2 linked regions of the Struthio camelus genome follow. The protein of the gene in region 2 interacts with the protein of the main gene of each other region in a biochemical or structural test. Links are inferred from orthologs where the notes say so. Each region holds a gene or a part of one and is shown on either strand. Other genes may lie near its edges.

Region 1 (7,171 bases), on a different chromosome or scaffold from region 2:
TGGCCAGGACCAAAATCCAGCCTTTCACACAGCCGAGGGCAAATCACCTGGGGGGCTGCACAGTGCTGCGACATCAGTGCTGGCCGTGGCCCAGCTCACAGCATTGCTGGCATTGCAGTGGTAGACGGTGTGGTTGGCGTCCTTTCGGAGCTGCAGCTGCAGGGAGGACTGGTGCCCCACGGCTCCGGCAGCGCTGGCACGGGACCAGCGGTAGGTGACGTTGTGGGTGCCGGGGACAGCACAGGCCAGCAAGAGGCTGCACAAGCTGTGCTCGCGGAGCACCACGCGCGCATCCAGCACCGGCTGGCCGACGGGCGCTGGAAGGACAGAGGCGGTGAGGGGGGCCGGGGCAACACCACGGTGGCAGCGCGGCCTCCAGACTACTCACCCAGCACTGACACACAGAAGCAGCTGGTAATCTCGAAGCTCGATGCGTTCTCAAAGTGTGCAGCGTAGACACCACTGTCTGCCTCCGTGACCAGGCTGATCTGCAGGGAGAGCGTCCCCCGATGGAAGATGGCTCGCTGGCTAAAACGACTAACTGGGGGCCGCTCTACGCTGCTGCTCTTAGCTGTCAGGATTCGGAGCCGCTCCCCTTTGTCCAGTCTCACTCTCCAGGTAATGCTTTCCCAGAGCAGTGATGGTTCCTCTGGCACCAGCCACAGCTCTCCTCCGACAGCTGCCACTATGTCCTTGCACCCTAGGGGTTCGCAAACAGTAGGAGAAAGAGCTGAGTGGGGGGATTAGGGAGCCAGGGCACCAGCAGAGGGTACACGGCCACCCGCTGTGGAGCAGGGCTGTGCCCCAGACCCGCAGGCTGGCTCCCCCGGTGCAGCCCCACACGCATCCCCCTGGGCAAGCTCAGCCCCACCATCTCTATCCCTTTTGTCCCATCCCAGGGGCACCCCTTGGCCCCAGAAAGGAGGTGGGGGCTTGCAACACCACTGGGAACAGGCTCCAGGCTCCTGCACAGTACCATCCCTAGCCAGTTGCTTATCTTTCACACCCTATCCTCTGCCCTCACAGTGCACGGATGTGCACGCAACATCCTCTCCTCCCTACCTGCCCCTTGCACTGCCCAGCTGTTGGGTTGCAGACCCTACAATAATACACTCAGGTGGCCCATTTGCACCCCAGCTCCTTCCCTACCAGCCCTGCCCAGGGAGGAGAGGGGCAGTTGCCTGCTGGACCACTGAGAAGCCATGAAGCCATGCTGAGCCTCCCCCACTTCTTTCACACCAGCCCCGGATGTCAAGGGCTCTGGCAGAGCTGAGATAAAAAACCCTTAAAATAAACCCAAGTGGCCACCCAGTCTGGGTGCGCACAGCCCTGTGGTTTTTCCTATCTGCACGCAGCTCCAAGTGAGCACCAGCCACCATGGGTGCCCAAGCTTTGCACAGCATGGCCACATACGCATGCATGCTGCGCATGCATGCTGCCTGTGCATGCCACCCATGCACACCCCCCCCGGCACAGCCCAGCTCATGCTGCCTCTCCAGGGAAAGCTCCAGCCTCCAGGAGCTCTGCTCAGCCCCAGCTTCCTGCAGCAGGCTGGGGCTTTGCACAGGAAAGAAGAAAGCCCAGAACAGGGCTCCCCCAGGAAAGGAAAGAGCTGGCCTAGCCCCCAGGAGCTGTTTATCGGCTTCTGGCCCTGATGGGTCACACCTGGGGCTGTTTCCCATCACTCCTGGCACCAGACTACCCTCGAGCAGGAGGAACTACAGCTGCTGCTTTTGGGGCTGTTTGGTGGTGTGAGCACCTTGAAGGCACTAGGAGCCGAGTCTCACTTGTTTAGTTGTCCTCCTCTCCCTTGGTAAATCCTCGCTTTCCTGGGGAACGCTCATCCTGGCTGTGCCTCCTCTAGCCTGGGCAGAGCCCTGGCCTCCTCTCTTTGCAAGAAGAGGAACCAAAGGGAAATTTGGAAGCAAAGCCTCAAAAGATATGTTATATCAGACGAATTTTATCCCAGCGCTCTTGGGGGATGTGTTGCCCCCAGGCGCTTGTGTGGCTCAGCAGGAGGCTCGACTGCCCTCTCCACCCTAGAAAACAGCTCAGGAGCACAAGTTTGTGGTGGAAAAAATCAAACCGGTCCTCCCTACAGGATGGGAAAGCAGGAGGGACAAAAGTAGCCCAGGTTTGTTGCACGGAGGCGATCATATGCTGGCTGGGGCTGGTCTCCAAGGTAGGAGTTTGCACCCTGTGAAGGGCCAAGCGTGGCGGCGAGCTGTGGCGCGTCCAGTGGGAGACCCCGGCCACCCGGCACCGTCAGCAAGGAGAGAGGCAGGTGCTGGGGCGTGGGCGTGCAAGTTCAGGGAAAAAATGACTCAAAATCTGCCCCGTGGTCCAAAGGTGTGATTGTAGCTCACTGTCTGCAGTTGGTACGAGCAGTGGGGCCGGTGCAGCACGGCTTAGGTTAACTGTGCCAGTCAGTGGGGAGGTTTTGCAGCTGGCGCTGAGCTGCCGGCCACTGCAGGCTCAGTCGCTCCAGCTTTGAGCTGAAATCACAGGCAAAAGGTGCTGAGTTTGTTCAGCAGAGAAAACTAGCTTTGAAAAGCTGCATTTCTGGGAAGGTCTGGACAGAATGCAGCTCTTGGGCGCTGCTCCAGGAGGAAGAAAGCTTATTTCGAGCAAACCCTGGGCCCTGCACCCAGCAGGCAGCAGCGCTGCCTGCAAAGGGGAACCAGCGCCCTGGGACAGTCTGGGCCATGTTTACCTGGCTGGGTGCAGAGAGACAGCGCGCCACAGGCCAAAAACCCTCCTCAGCACTAGCTTTGTTGTCCTGCGGCTGCTGCTTCCCACTGGGCATCCGTCCCTGTGAGCGCCTTGAGCCACCCAGCCAGCTCTGCCCACACGTCCCTGCTCCACTGCCCAGCCAGAGCCTCCCATCCTGGCTGCAGGGACAAGCCGGTTTGTCCCTGGTGCCGCAGTGAGCCCCGTTTTGCAGCCTAGCTCACGTGCATCATGCCCCTTCCTCCTCCTCACCTTCCCCAGCGGCGGCAAGCAGCATGAAGCAGAGCAGCACTTGCTGGGGCAGTGCTGGCTGGTGGCACCTGGCGCCTGGCAGCTCCATGCTCCACGCCGGCAGCGAGCAGGCTTCCTGCAGTGGGGCAGGCGGCGAGATGAGAAGCTCCTCCGAGACGGCGACAGTCCGTCAATAGCTTCCTCTGTCCCCTGTGGTTTCTGCGCACCCCTTGTGCTCATGCAACATCCTCCACGTGGTGGAACAAATGGTTTGGGGGGGAGGCTTGCGTTTTTGGGGGGGGGGGGCTGTTCCTTTACTGCTCAGCTTTGGGAGGAGGAGGAGTGATGCTCTCAAGGCTGCAGCAGGCTTTTATGATTTGTGAACCGCAGCTGCGTCAAGCATCCCAAAGTCAGGCCCCAAAAAAAGCCCTGCAGTGACCTGCATTTGTAGGCTTCCAAACAGCCCCAAAGTGGAAGTGACTTCCGAGCATCTCCCCTATGCCCATGGGGCTGCAGTGTCACCCTGCAAATGGGAAAGAGCTAGGACAACCCTATCACGGGATAAGGCTTAGCACAATTTGGCTCTTCAAAGCCCAGCGTCCCAGACAAAGCCCCCACGGGTAATGGGCGGATGCTGCACCCAGCCGGGGGTTTCTATAGCGCAGGACCTGCTCCTTGGTCAGCATCCCCCTGTGAGCTGCATCCCTCCGCTCTCCTCCTCCCCGTTGCCCAGATCTCCCTCACTCCTGCCCAGCTTTGCACATCCCAGGTGGAAAGGCTGGGGCAGGGGGGCTTTTGGAGCTGGAAGAGCATCTAACCCCGTGCAGTACTCCCCAAATCAGCATCTCCCCCGCTGGGGGGGCTGCACAGGGCCGGGCAGCCTCGGGGCTCCCAGGATCAGACCTCAGGCCAGCAGTATTCGCCCACAGCTGCATCATGTCTCACTGCAAGCTTATTCCCTTTCCTGTTCAGAGAACAGTTGCTCCCGCAGCACGGCGAGCTGTGTCCAGTCTCTGCACCGGGTGCTCGGGCTGGGCTGGGCTGGGCAGGGCAGCTCATTAGAAACTGCTTTTAAAAGCTTTTCTCAGGTAGCCTTTCTGGTGTGGTTTACTTTCTCATGCAAACTAGTACAAAGAGTTTGTTGCAGGGTCAGAAAAAGCCTCATGGCAAGGAGAAAAACCCCAAGCAGCCAAAGCTGAAACCAAACTCTGCTTTCTGAATGCTGGAAAGTTTCACTGCAATAGTTCAACTGGGCCATTAAGAAGGAGTAATTTTGAAAAAATATATATGTATATTTAAGAAAACGCTGCAAACCTGGGAAAAAGTATTCTGTTCATAACACTTTAACTTGCTCTAGGAGCCACGGGAGGGCTCCTGGAGGGTAGTGAGTGAGATCTAAGTTGAAGTTTCTTTTCCGCCTCTGGAAAACGTAATTCTCTTTATATTAGCCTTTGATTACAAAAATACTTTAGGAGAAAATAACTCAGAATTGTTATTTGGGAATAAGTATTTCCCACCAGCCCAGAGGGAAGGGGAAGGAGGAGGTGAGTTGCAAGGGGAACGTGTGCAAGCCGGTGAGCTGAGACATGGCTGTCAGGGCGCTGCCGGGGGGTGTTCAGCCCCTCACCGCAGCTTTGACTCTCTCCCTCTATACCTGGGATTTTGGGGCACAGTGCCACCGAAGGCCAGGCATCCCCCGAGTCCCTGCTGCCCCAGGAAGCCTCCTTCCCAGCAGGATGATCCTGCTGCGGAATAGTGAGGCTGAAGGAAGGAGGAGCGTGGAGGGCCAGCAGGAGTGCGCAGCCCGGCACGAGCCCCTGAGCTGATCCGCCACCGTCTGCTCCTGCCCTGCAATCCCCTCGACGCTGCTAATCACCTTAGGGGCTTGGCTCTAAGCCTATTGCCCTGTCATCTGCTCAGCCCTGCCTGGCAGCTCCCAGCTGGGAAATGGCCGCTTTGGGCTGGAGAAGCCCCTCCGGCAAGGGTGCAGTGGGGGAAACTGAGGAACGAAGCCAGGTTTCGCTCAGGAGCGGCTTGCTTTCTGGGCAGCAACCAGCCCCGACCAGGAGCTATTTCCAGCCTTTGCGGGAAGGGCTTTGCAGAGGGGCTCTGTAAATGGACAGAAAGGGAACAATTTCCCGTTAAAGTCTTCGGAAGATGCTGCAGCAGCAGTTGGGCTCTGGGTGAGCAGAGGGACGCAGGTCAGCTCCGTCCCTCCAGCAGCTGCTCTGTCAACACCAGAGCTGGTTTTCTGAGGCGAAGGGCGAGCAGAAACTAAAGCAGAAATGAGCAGAAACTGAACAGAAAGTATTCTCACTGAAATTCGTACTTGGGATGGGAATATATTCCCTGCCGCGTCCACCTCCTCAAGGGAGAAACCCCAGCGCATTACCTGCCCTGCGCCGACACATGAATTGCCCTGATTTCTCCCCTGGGGCGGAAAGACACACTAATTATTCGTCAGCAGTGCTGGTACCTCGTTGTTAATCGTTCACGTTTCAGGGTAGTTTCCCATCTACAATCACTCCCTTGTGTGCACCAGGGGAGAGGCCAGGCTTGGGCTCGGCGTTTCCCCATGGCGGCCGTTTCGGGGTGTCACGTGGCAGGATCCAGTGGTGATTTTGGTCTTGTGGCCAGCACTTGCCACGATATGGGGTGAAAAGCTGACGTTTGGGGTCCCCCTTGCAGAGCCCACAGACATGCTGCGGCCAGAGCGGGGGGAACAGCTTGGGCCCCTCCAGCAGTGGGGAACTGAGGCATGGTGCATCCCTGCGGAGCCGGCTGCAGCAGGTCCCAGTGGGACAGGGCTGTGCAGGCTCCTCTGGCCCCTTCCACCACTTGTGGGCAGAGGAGCAAAAACTCATTAAGGCTACAAAGGAAAAGCAGCACTTTGCAAGGTGGAAAACCTCCACTCAGAGCATGGGCTGAGCCGATTAATTAGCGCTTTTGTCCGCGGCTCAGTTCAACACACAGGGAACAATTTCCATTAAGGGGAGCTTCCCTCTGCCAGGCGCTCTTTCAGCTGCTGGCCCGGGGAGTGGAGCCATGGCAGAGGAGGGAAAGAAAAGGAGGGAGGAAGAAAACAGGAAGGGAATGAAAGGGAAGCGTTTGCCACGTTTCGCAGACCACACTGAGGAGGAAGGGAAGATGCTGCATGCTTGAAGCACCGCATTGCAGAGGCGAGGGTGTTTTTATTCAGCGCATCAGCTGTGCTTTCTCGTTCCCCTTCCAGCTAAATTTGGCCCCCAAGAGGTGAAAGCAAGGAGGGCTCCCGCGGGCCAGGGTTTCTGCACAGGCAGAGCTGCTCGTGTGGCGGCATGCTTGGCCCAGGGACACGTGGCCGCTTCCCCAGCTCCGACGCCTTCCCGGGGCCCTTCCTGACCTAGGGGCCGGGAAAATGGCCAGCGCATCTGAACCGCTCCTGCTCGGGCATCCCCCACGACCACCGCCGGGCCAGCTGGGAGCTGCTGGGAGTGGCGAAGGTGACGGCCGATGCACGCCAGGGAGCAGGCTCCCGCAAACTTGCACCACCCTTGCATGGGGCTTTCACCCCCAGGTCCAAGCCACCACCCTTCCCCTTTGCAAACAGCAAAAGCAAACGCAGGGATCTGGGTGCCTCCTGTTCGAATCCGCTTTCCGCAGGCCAAGCAATGAAACAGGCTGGTTGTGCAGCCCCTTCCCACCCCGTCCAGCATCCGCTTCAGTTCTTAACTGAGAGATTGGAGGCAAAATATCCTGCCAGCCCCGGAGCTCGGCTCTGCCCAAGAGGTGGCAGCATGCACCCACGCTCCGTCCCGGCCGGAGCTGTGCTGCCAGGGCCAGGGCCCAGCTTGGGCCTGGGTCTCCCCACCATAATGTCCCCCAGATCCCTCTAGTGCTGCACCCACCCCTGCACCAAGCACACGGCAGTGTCTGGGCTCAGTGCGGGACTTCTCTCCGGTGGGAACGTCATCGGTTGCGTGTTCATGGCCCCGAATCTGGCGCGAGATAATAATTGAACGTCTCATAAAAAATTATGTAGTTTATAATAAGTGAATTATTTACTGGTGACCCTGACTAAATGCTGCGTGGTATAAATTATTGAGTGGTAGATCCGTCAAAAAGTTCTCATAAATAAGTTATCTGGTGCCGTCTTAATGTTCCCAGTAAATTACTCATTCAATCTCCCATCTAAATGCTCTCCTGGGGAAATTACTCGCTCCTGCTGATT
Region 2 (8,166 bases):
ACACTCACCCTACAGACCCGAAGGACCGAAAGGATTTAGGAATTTACCTCAACAAAAGCCCTTTAAATCCAAAATCCTGGACAAAACCGAGCATCCTCTTCAAGGGCCTGTGTGCCTATTCGGATCTGCAGTACATGGGGGTGGGCCCAGATGGCTCACCCCTGTTCTCCTGCCTCTTTGAATTTGGGACTCACAAGCAATATGAGAAGATAATCTTTGTCATGTTCACTTTGAAGCAAGCCTTTCCATCAGAGTCCTGAGTGTCAAACCTCCTGGGGATCCCTCAGAAAACCACCTTTCCTGATCCTCCTCCTCCTCCTCCTCTCTTTCACTTCTTGTCTTTCAGCGAAAGGTTTTTCTTGCTCCTCTTTGGCCCCGAGTTTGTCATTGGCTTGTGACGTCTATGGATTACAAAGTCTATTAAACGTACTGAAACTAAACGTGTTTGGTTTTGTTTTCCTTTACCTGCTCTCCCTTCTCACTCATCCCTTTCGCTGCTGTTTTAAACATCTCGTCCGCAAAACAGGCATGACTTTCGTACGAGGCGTTTCACCTCAGGGCCTCCGATAGGCCCTGAGGGATGCTTGGCAAGGGATGTGTGCGTGGATGGTGCAGGGACCACGTGGACAAAGGTGGCAACGATTTTATGCTGACCTATACTCGGCAAACTGCGGAGAGAGAGAGAGGAGTGGAGAGGACACTGGGGTTCCCCCTCCGCCTGCAGTTATCTCCTCCAGAAAACTGCTGCAGCTCCGGTTAGGTGCGCTCCTTTTAGCCGTCAGTGCTGGAAGCTCTAGCTTTCGGGGCTTGCCAGTCTCTCGTATCAGAGAGGCCGCATGAGGCTGGAGTCAGGGTTGCCTTCCTGAGTTCCCAGGCCCCTCAAAGACGTACTTCTGTCTAGCGTTGCCTTTTCCCTTGCTTCCCGTGCTGCCTGCTCTTGCTTTGCTGCCCCTTTGCTTACGCTGCAATAAGCAGCTGCAACTTCTCACATGCAAGAAAACCACAGTCTCACGTGGCACAGCCCTTCCTTTCCCTGGGCAGCGACAGCAGGACACACGCAGGCAAAATGCAAGGTTTGGGGATGGGGCAAGTGGCAGAAATGGCACTTTGCCTGTATCAAGTGCAGGATCGGGACAGGTCTGCAGAGGGAGCTCCCAATTTATAGCCAGGAGGGGAAATAATTGCTGGTCTTCTTAACACAAGTGCTAAGCTATAGTCCGTAGAGAAATGGCTCTTAACTCAGGCAATCCCATGCCTTGAAAGTATGGCTCTTGCTGTTAGAGATCGTTGTTGGCATATGGGGCAGTGCATCTAACAAATACCATGCCCTGCTTCCAGCAAATTGCAAAGGCACGGAAGCGAGAGGAAGGGGACTTGACCAAGCCCTGAGTAGCATGAGAGCGCTCAAGCTAGAAGGCTTTCCAAAGCAGACAGATTTTTTCAGCAGGTTTCTGAAGGAAACAGTTCCAGTTTTGGTGAGAGAGAGCCTCTTCTGAGGCTGAGGTGCAATCTGAAAGGAGGTATTATACAGTGAGTAGATAAAGGGAGTGACCAGAAGTGAATCACCCCCGAGGGAGACACTTCAGAGCAGATGGAGCCAGAAAGGGTTTGACCATGTCTCTAGACAAGATTCTGCTTTAAGTACCAGTCCATCTTTGTTTGCTGTATGCTGTGTGTGTGCACGTATGGAATAGCACCAAGGAAAATGCGTGCATTTGCTCTGTTGATGAAAGAGGGTCCCTGGTTTTTCTCATTCATCTAGGTTTGTTGCAGGGCACCTGGAGCTGCTGTACGAAGGGAGCGAAGAGATCTTATAGCCTGCGCAACTACGTCTGTAATTTGTCAAGCCTTTCCCAAGCAGCAGGTCAGTAACACACTGGGCTGGAGCAGCTGCAAAGCGCCGAGCAGCTCACTAACCAGTACTTTGTGGGTATTATTCATCTGCTCTTTTGATGTAGGCAGAGTCTAAATACGCTTTTGTGGCCAATAGCCTGTTACTGGTGCCTGATGAGGGAATGTTATATTTAGACTCCAGCATAGCTAAGTGCTGTCCTGTAGCTTTAACTTCCCTTGTCAGGCATACTTCTATTTCTTCATGCTTCTAGACACAAAAATGCCTCTTAGAGGGCTTTTCCTCTGGCCAAGCCCAGCAGCACTCTTGCTGATGCGCTGTGCAGGCTGGCTGTGTGGTGGGTTGTTGGGTGACCCCTGCGCATCTTGAGTGATGCTGCAGACGGTATGTATCCGCCGGTCCTTGACAGGCTGGTGAATTCACTGCCAGCTGGTACAATACTACCAGGACATCTGTAGCAAACCCAGTTCAGATAAAAAATGTTTACTGCAATGTCTTAGAGACAACTTAGACTAACAACCTAACATAGAGAAAAGTAACGTTCGCTTTGTCCATAGGCTGCCAGGGCTGCAATTTTTGATTATCCAACATTGAAACGTGTCCCAGTTCTTTGACTGTGGCCTCATTCTTTCAAGTAAATTAAAATGAAATACTGCTGCTGCTGCGGTTATCTAAGAGATTCTGTTGAGTCTGCTTTGGATTTGCCTGACAGGTGTACCTATTATTCTTCTGTTTTATGAGGGGAGCCCTTATGTGGTGCTTTGCCCCAACTGGGCGATGATAATATGCTATTCTAAGCATATTCGTTGTGGAAACCTAGGGTTGCGCTTGCTACGTTTGCAGTGTCGCCCTCTGCACTGTATCACCTGGCACATAACTGAGGGCACAGATAACTGCACTTCTCTACGGCAAATGTTGTAGCTCCCCTCTAGGTAACTCCTCTAATACTTTCTTTCTCAGATCTACTCCCTGGCCTTCTCCGACACAGACATGAATGGGAAGAAAATTAATGGTGTAAGTATCTGCCTCCGTCTCTGTGCAGGACAGAGTAAGGTACATGCTATCCTTTGGGAATCAGGCTGCAGATAGCTCAGGACCTTGCAGGGATCAGTCTTTCCTCAGTGTCGCAGACTTCACGTGCTAGCTCCATGAGAAGTAAAACAGACACCGTTTCCTTTTCAGGCGGTGCTGTGTGTGAGCCGTTAGGGATCACACAGCTGTTTGTATTAGTGCTTTGGGATTCACCTTTTGAGCACCTGGAGCTGTACTGTGCTTTCTTTTAGGACTGAGGAATCCATACAGAAACCAGCCTGCACATCACAGTGCCACAGTCATCACACGTTTGGATCCCATCCCCTTGTTTATATCTCCAGGTTGAGGAGTGCTGTGCAGCAGGGCACAGGAGTCACACATCTGATGGAAATAACAGTAGTTTGCTAAATGCTGAAGCCAGTGGAGGGATGGGTTAAGTGTTCAATATCCAGCTAATCAGTCTTTCAGCTATCTGAACAGGGCTTGTACCCCTCTGTTACCCTGTGTTAATATGCCGTAGATCAGCAGAAGCTCTCCAAAGACAGTTTCATTCCAGCAGCACTCAGCTTGTGCAGCAGCGCCGTTCGTTCTGCATCAACGTATGGCTCCGCTGCATAGAGAGCGCCGTGAGGTCAAGCAGCGCTTTGACGTTCAGAGCTGCCCTGCTTCCTGCTGCAGCTATACTGTAAGTATCAGATGTCAGAGGTGAGGTTAGCAGCACGCTGCGGCAGGGCAAAACAGTCAAAGTGGGTACACAATCCCCTTGCCACATGCAAGCACTCTTCCCAGTGGAGAATAGGATTTGCAGCCACACCGTAGCTTACAAGAGCTTACAGCTACCGTCCATGTGGAGCTACGTCATGGCTTTCAGCATCTGACTCCTATTTAGGCACCTAAACCAATGAAGTTTGGTTCCCAAAGCCCTTTGTGGACCTGAGTGAAGCCGTAGTGTAATTTTGGTCTGCAAACAGTGCTTGCTCAGCGTGGATAGGAAGCTTTGCACAGAGCAGCTCTGCCCGTTCAGCGAGGTCCTACAGTGGTCCCATACTTTTGCATTCTGAACTCTGCAGTTATGCTTGTGCCCACAATTTGAACCCAGCAGCAGAAATTAAACTGGACACTGCAGAGTAGATGTGCAAGCGCGAGGAAGGCAGACAGGGATGAACACTACGTTGTACTGGTTTATGCAACCTCGCATCCCAAGTTCTAGTTTCTCCCTGTCTCGTTTGAGGCTGCGCTCTTCCGCCTTGCTGCAGGGGAGCAGCAGTATGACCCGTGCACCATGGCCGCAGCACTTCCCAGGCGCTGGGAGGTGAGCTTTGCATAAGGCTAGAAGTGTCTTCACATCGCCTGGGGACTCCCCCCTCGGTACTCAGAGTCCCCGCCTGGCAGCTGCTTTTGGTTACAGCTCAAATGTGGATGTGCAGAAGCACTTTCCTCAAACGCAGAGTGGCTGGAGGCACCGGAGAGGCACCTGCGTGTGCCGTGTGGCCAGTGCCCCCGTAGCAAAGTCCCTGCTGGCTGCAAACACGCCTTGGTGGCGTTGCCTTGGACTTGCAGCACTGAGCATGCCACGAAGAGCACAGGCAAGTGGCAGATGTACAGACTAAGAAAAGGGAAATGAAAGCCCCAGTTCTTCCCTCTCTGACGTAGCTGCCAGAATCGCTCTGCTCCATCCCTCCTTTGGGGATTTGGAGTAGGAAAGACCTTTGAATCCATCTAACAGTAACTATCAGGGAGCTTTGGTCACAAACTCCCAGACAAATCAGCCTGTAAGCCTGTCCCCATGCCTGGAAACACGGAGGGGTAATTTTAGTCAGTTCTTTCAAGTCCCCTCCTCACACCTAGCTATATGTGAGGACTACACAAGGCAGGAATGGGGCAGTCAGCGCTGAGGATCCTAATGCACGAGGTATTTCTGATCAGTCTAGGATTTATTTATTCCCCATGGGAACCTGCAGTGGGCAGGAAAGACGGACAGAAAAAAGATGGAAACTCAAAGGGTCTGGTAACAGATCAGAAATGGGACAGGAGGCCACCAAAGCCTGTGGGACTGAATCAGCTGGGGAGCGGACCGGCTCCCCAGCTGGGACTTTTGATGCAGAGTGTTAGGATGTGAAGGGGGAGGGAAAGGCAGGGAACAAGGGCTTGCTACTCGCTTCACTTGTAGCATGAAGAGAGAGAGCGGGGGCTGCAGGAACATGTCACGCTCACTCTCTGAGCTGTTTGAGTTAAGGAAGTTGTCCGCGGCTGAGTTTCCTTTCCCTCTCTGCGCTATTGAAACAGGAAGCTGGTGAGCTAAAGCTGCTTGATCGTTACACACAGGCACACAGGCAGCTCTGGCAGCTCCTGTACTGACATTCAGGTTTCCTCCAACTCCAGCTATGGATCAGTGCTGGTACCACGGCAACATTACTCGCTCCAGAGCCGAGGACCTGCTCTCCAAAGTAGGCAAGGATGGCAGCTTCCTTGTGCGGGCCAGTGAGTCAATTGCTTCGGCGTATGCACTCTGCGTGCTGTAAGTACAACTTTCACCCTCGCGCTTCACGCGGACACTTTTGTCCCGGCTTGTGCAGGGGGCTACCCCCTGTGCGCTCTCCGGTACAGAAGCAAAGCGCCGCTGTACCCGTCAGGAAGGTGCAGCCCGCATCAGCTGGTTTCACTTGACTGGGCCACAGGGTAGGGTAGGGTTGGGAGCAGGTTGAACAAACCCATGTATTTACTGCTGGAGTAGAATAAACCACCCTAGTCTCGCCCCTGATTCTGAAGGAGAGAATAATCCAAGATACTGTTGTTGCATTCAGAGAAAATAACCTCTTGACCTCTTTGAGCCTGTTGGCAACCTGGCTATTTACATTTCACAGCCAAAGTAGTGAGCGTGGTGCCCTCCCAGGCACTTTCTTACCTTGGTTCAGTGTGTGTTTGTCCCACCAGCCTGTACGGTGCTGGGTGCCACTCGACGAAGGGTTTGCAACAGTCCCTGGGGCTGTGCGTGGTAAGCCTGGTGCGAGGGTGATTCCACCTGCCCCACTGACGTGCCTCACGGGGGAAACATTGTCCTGTAGGAGACAGGGAGAGGAGAGACGAGGTGGCAGCCCTGAGCCCTGATTCAAGGCTGGGGCTGGGAACTGGGGAGTGGGGCCTCCTGTCCTGGGTTTGGGAGGAGCAGGTGTTATTCCTGGAGGCAGGAGCGGCTGGGGCCAGAGAAGACCGAAGCCAGTAGGTGAGGTGAAGCTTGAGGCTTTTGACTTTGGATGACAAGAGAGATAACACAGTCACCGTCCCCTCAGAAGAGATCAGGAGAGCCTCAGTGGGACCGTGCCCTGCCATTATGCAGCAGATTAATAAAAGGTATTTCATACCCCCGCCTCCACTGAAATTACAGGCAGGTTTCTCAGTGTAGCTTCTTTCTGAAAGCATATGTCTTGCAGTGGCAAAGGCGCTGCTGCTGTTTCTAACCCTGGTCTAACTGTTCAGCGCTGAGGTCAGACTTTTGGTGACAGCACGGCCTGCTGCAGAGGGCATGTCTTCCGCAGAAGAGCGTGGGGCTGAGTCGCTGCCCCCTAAGTGAAGTGTAGGTGTTGGACTGCAAGAGCTCAGTGGCTGGGGAAGGGGGGATGTTGGTAAAGTGAGGAGAGCCTCCGGGCCTGCTTGTAATAGCAGGCGGAAGGGAAGAGTTTTGTCTTTCTGGAGGGAGCAGGGCAAGAAGGGCGGCTGCAGATGAATAGCCAGGGCAAGCGGGAGGAAGGAGGGGCAGTCATGTTACAGAGGCTTAGTGCCCAAGTTGCCAATCGGGGAACGTTTTTCTGGAGTAAAGACTGTGGCTTCCACCGAGCGGTTTTTGTATGACCCCTTCGATTAGTCTTTTAACCAGTAGGTACACAGAGGAAATATTTTTAGGGGGTGACAGTGGGGACTGCAGAAAGGGAAAGCGCTGTAAAAGCGTCTACTAACGTGTATTTGCATAAGTTTTTCCATTGTAAATGTTTATGCAGCCAACTTTGAAAGCCTTTTGTGACTTGAGAGACATGGGATCAGGAAGTAGAAACAATGTCATGACCAGGATTTTCTGAAGCGGGAGCCAAAGGTTATGTTCTTAAATCCATTCTGAGGTGGCTGACATGAATGGTTTGATTAAAGACATGGGGAGCACCCAGCCTTGTCAGCCAAGAGGGGCAGGATCTGTGGTGGGACGGCCTGGCATTCATTACCGGCTGAGAAAAGTCACACAGACTTGCCTCAAAGTACCTACCAAGCTTTCCGCTTATGCTGGTTTTAGAGCGAGTCTGTGAAGAGAAAGGGTTAAAGGCGGTGAATAAGTCTTTCCCTCTGAATGTCACCTTGACAAAATGTACAGCTTTGCTGAAATCGTCCTCAGAGATATATCGGTTTCAGCTGTGTTATTGACTGGAAGGTGTTTGAAGTTGGAGCTCTTCAGTCACTTTTTTTTAAAAAACGGGCTGGCTGGAGACAAAGAACGTGAGAAAGAGAGAGAGGAATTGAAAGCCTGACTGCAAAAGGCTGTTTCACAAAACAGGATTGTACTGAAATTGAGAAAATATGGGTGTAGAGAAGCAAAACAAGACACCATGAAATTTGCTCTGAAAAAGAAGTGTCATTTTCTGCAAAGCTCTAATATTTACCGAGCAGATCAGTCTTAAATCCAGCAGAAGGGCTTATTATTAATATTTTTACCTTATAGAATGAAATAGTGATTTTCCTGCAGAGCTGTTTTAGGAAAACAGGATTTGTATAAACATAGACAAGCAAGGAAGGTGTATTTGCAGGGCATTTTACAGGTGCCTCCCCTCTTTTTCTAAAACGTAGAGCAGCAGCATTCGGCTTAGCAGAGAGCTGAAACAGTCAGCAAGTACCCAGGGAGCGCTCCTCCCCCCGGCCGCGCTGTCTGCTGCCCTACTGGTCATCCTGCCCCATAAAAGGCAAGAAGCAGTGTCATTTTCCTCCTCCTTTTTCTGTGCCTGGATCGTTTGATTTGCCAGTTTATTGGCTAGAAATGGGCCCTCAAACCCGCCTGGGGAGGAATGCCTGGATCCTGAAATCAAAAAGAGTCTGCTTGGCTTTAGCAAAATGCTGCACCTGAAGCGGTGTCGCTCCAGCAAGGGATCTTCTGTTGGTGGCTCCTGCATGAACGCCTGCGGGGTTAAAACCGGTTCAAGACAAGACCCTCAAAGCCAGGCCACACACAGCTTTCAGGTCCCTCTTGGAGGACACCTGCTGTGAGCTGCCATTTCCAGCCCCCAGGTGGGGGACAGCCTCTCTTA

The links.
Region 1: the proteins of INPP5D (region 2) and CD244 interact in a biophysical measurement, tested with the Homo sapiens proteins (2 studies listed by IntAct). The link is inferred for Struthio camelus from reciprocal best matches to the Homo sapiens genes INPP5D and CD244.

The regions. Positions count from the first base shown.
Region 1 is NC_090971.1:5,240,409-5,247,579, forward strand, and holds the start of CD244 (natural killer cell receptor 2B4), read right to left. Parts: upstream 3,174-7,171; 5' UTR 3,071-3,173; coding exon 2,983-3,070; intron 701-2,982; coding exon 389-700; intron 318-388; coding exon 48-317; intron 1-47. UniProt on the Homo sapiens protein: Heterophilic receptor of the signaling lymphocytic activation molecule (SLAM) family; its ligand is CD48.
Region 2 is NC_090950.1:6,084,628-6,092,793, forward strand, and holds the start of INPP5D (phosphatidylinositol 3,4,5-trisphosphate 5-phosphatase 1), read left to right. Parts: upstream 1-5,157; 5' UTR 5,158-5,268; coding exon 5,269-5,402; intron 5,403-8,166. Other genes in the region: NEU2 (sialidase-2), read left to right, coding at 1-260. UniProt on the Homo sapiens protein: Phosphatidylinositol (PtdIns) phosphatase that specifically hydrolyzes the 5-phosphate of phosphatidylinositol-3,4,5-trisphosphate (PtdIns(3,4,5)P3) to produce PtdIns(3,4)P2, thereby negatively regulating the PI3K (phosphoinositide 3-kinase) pathways.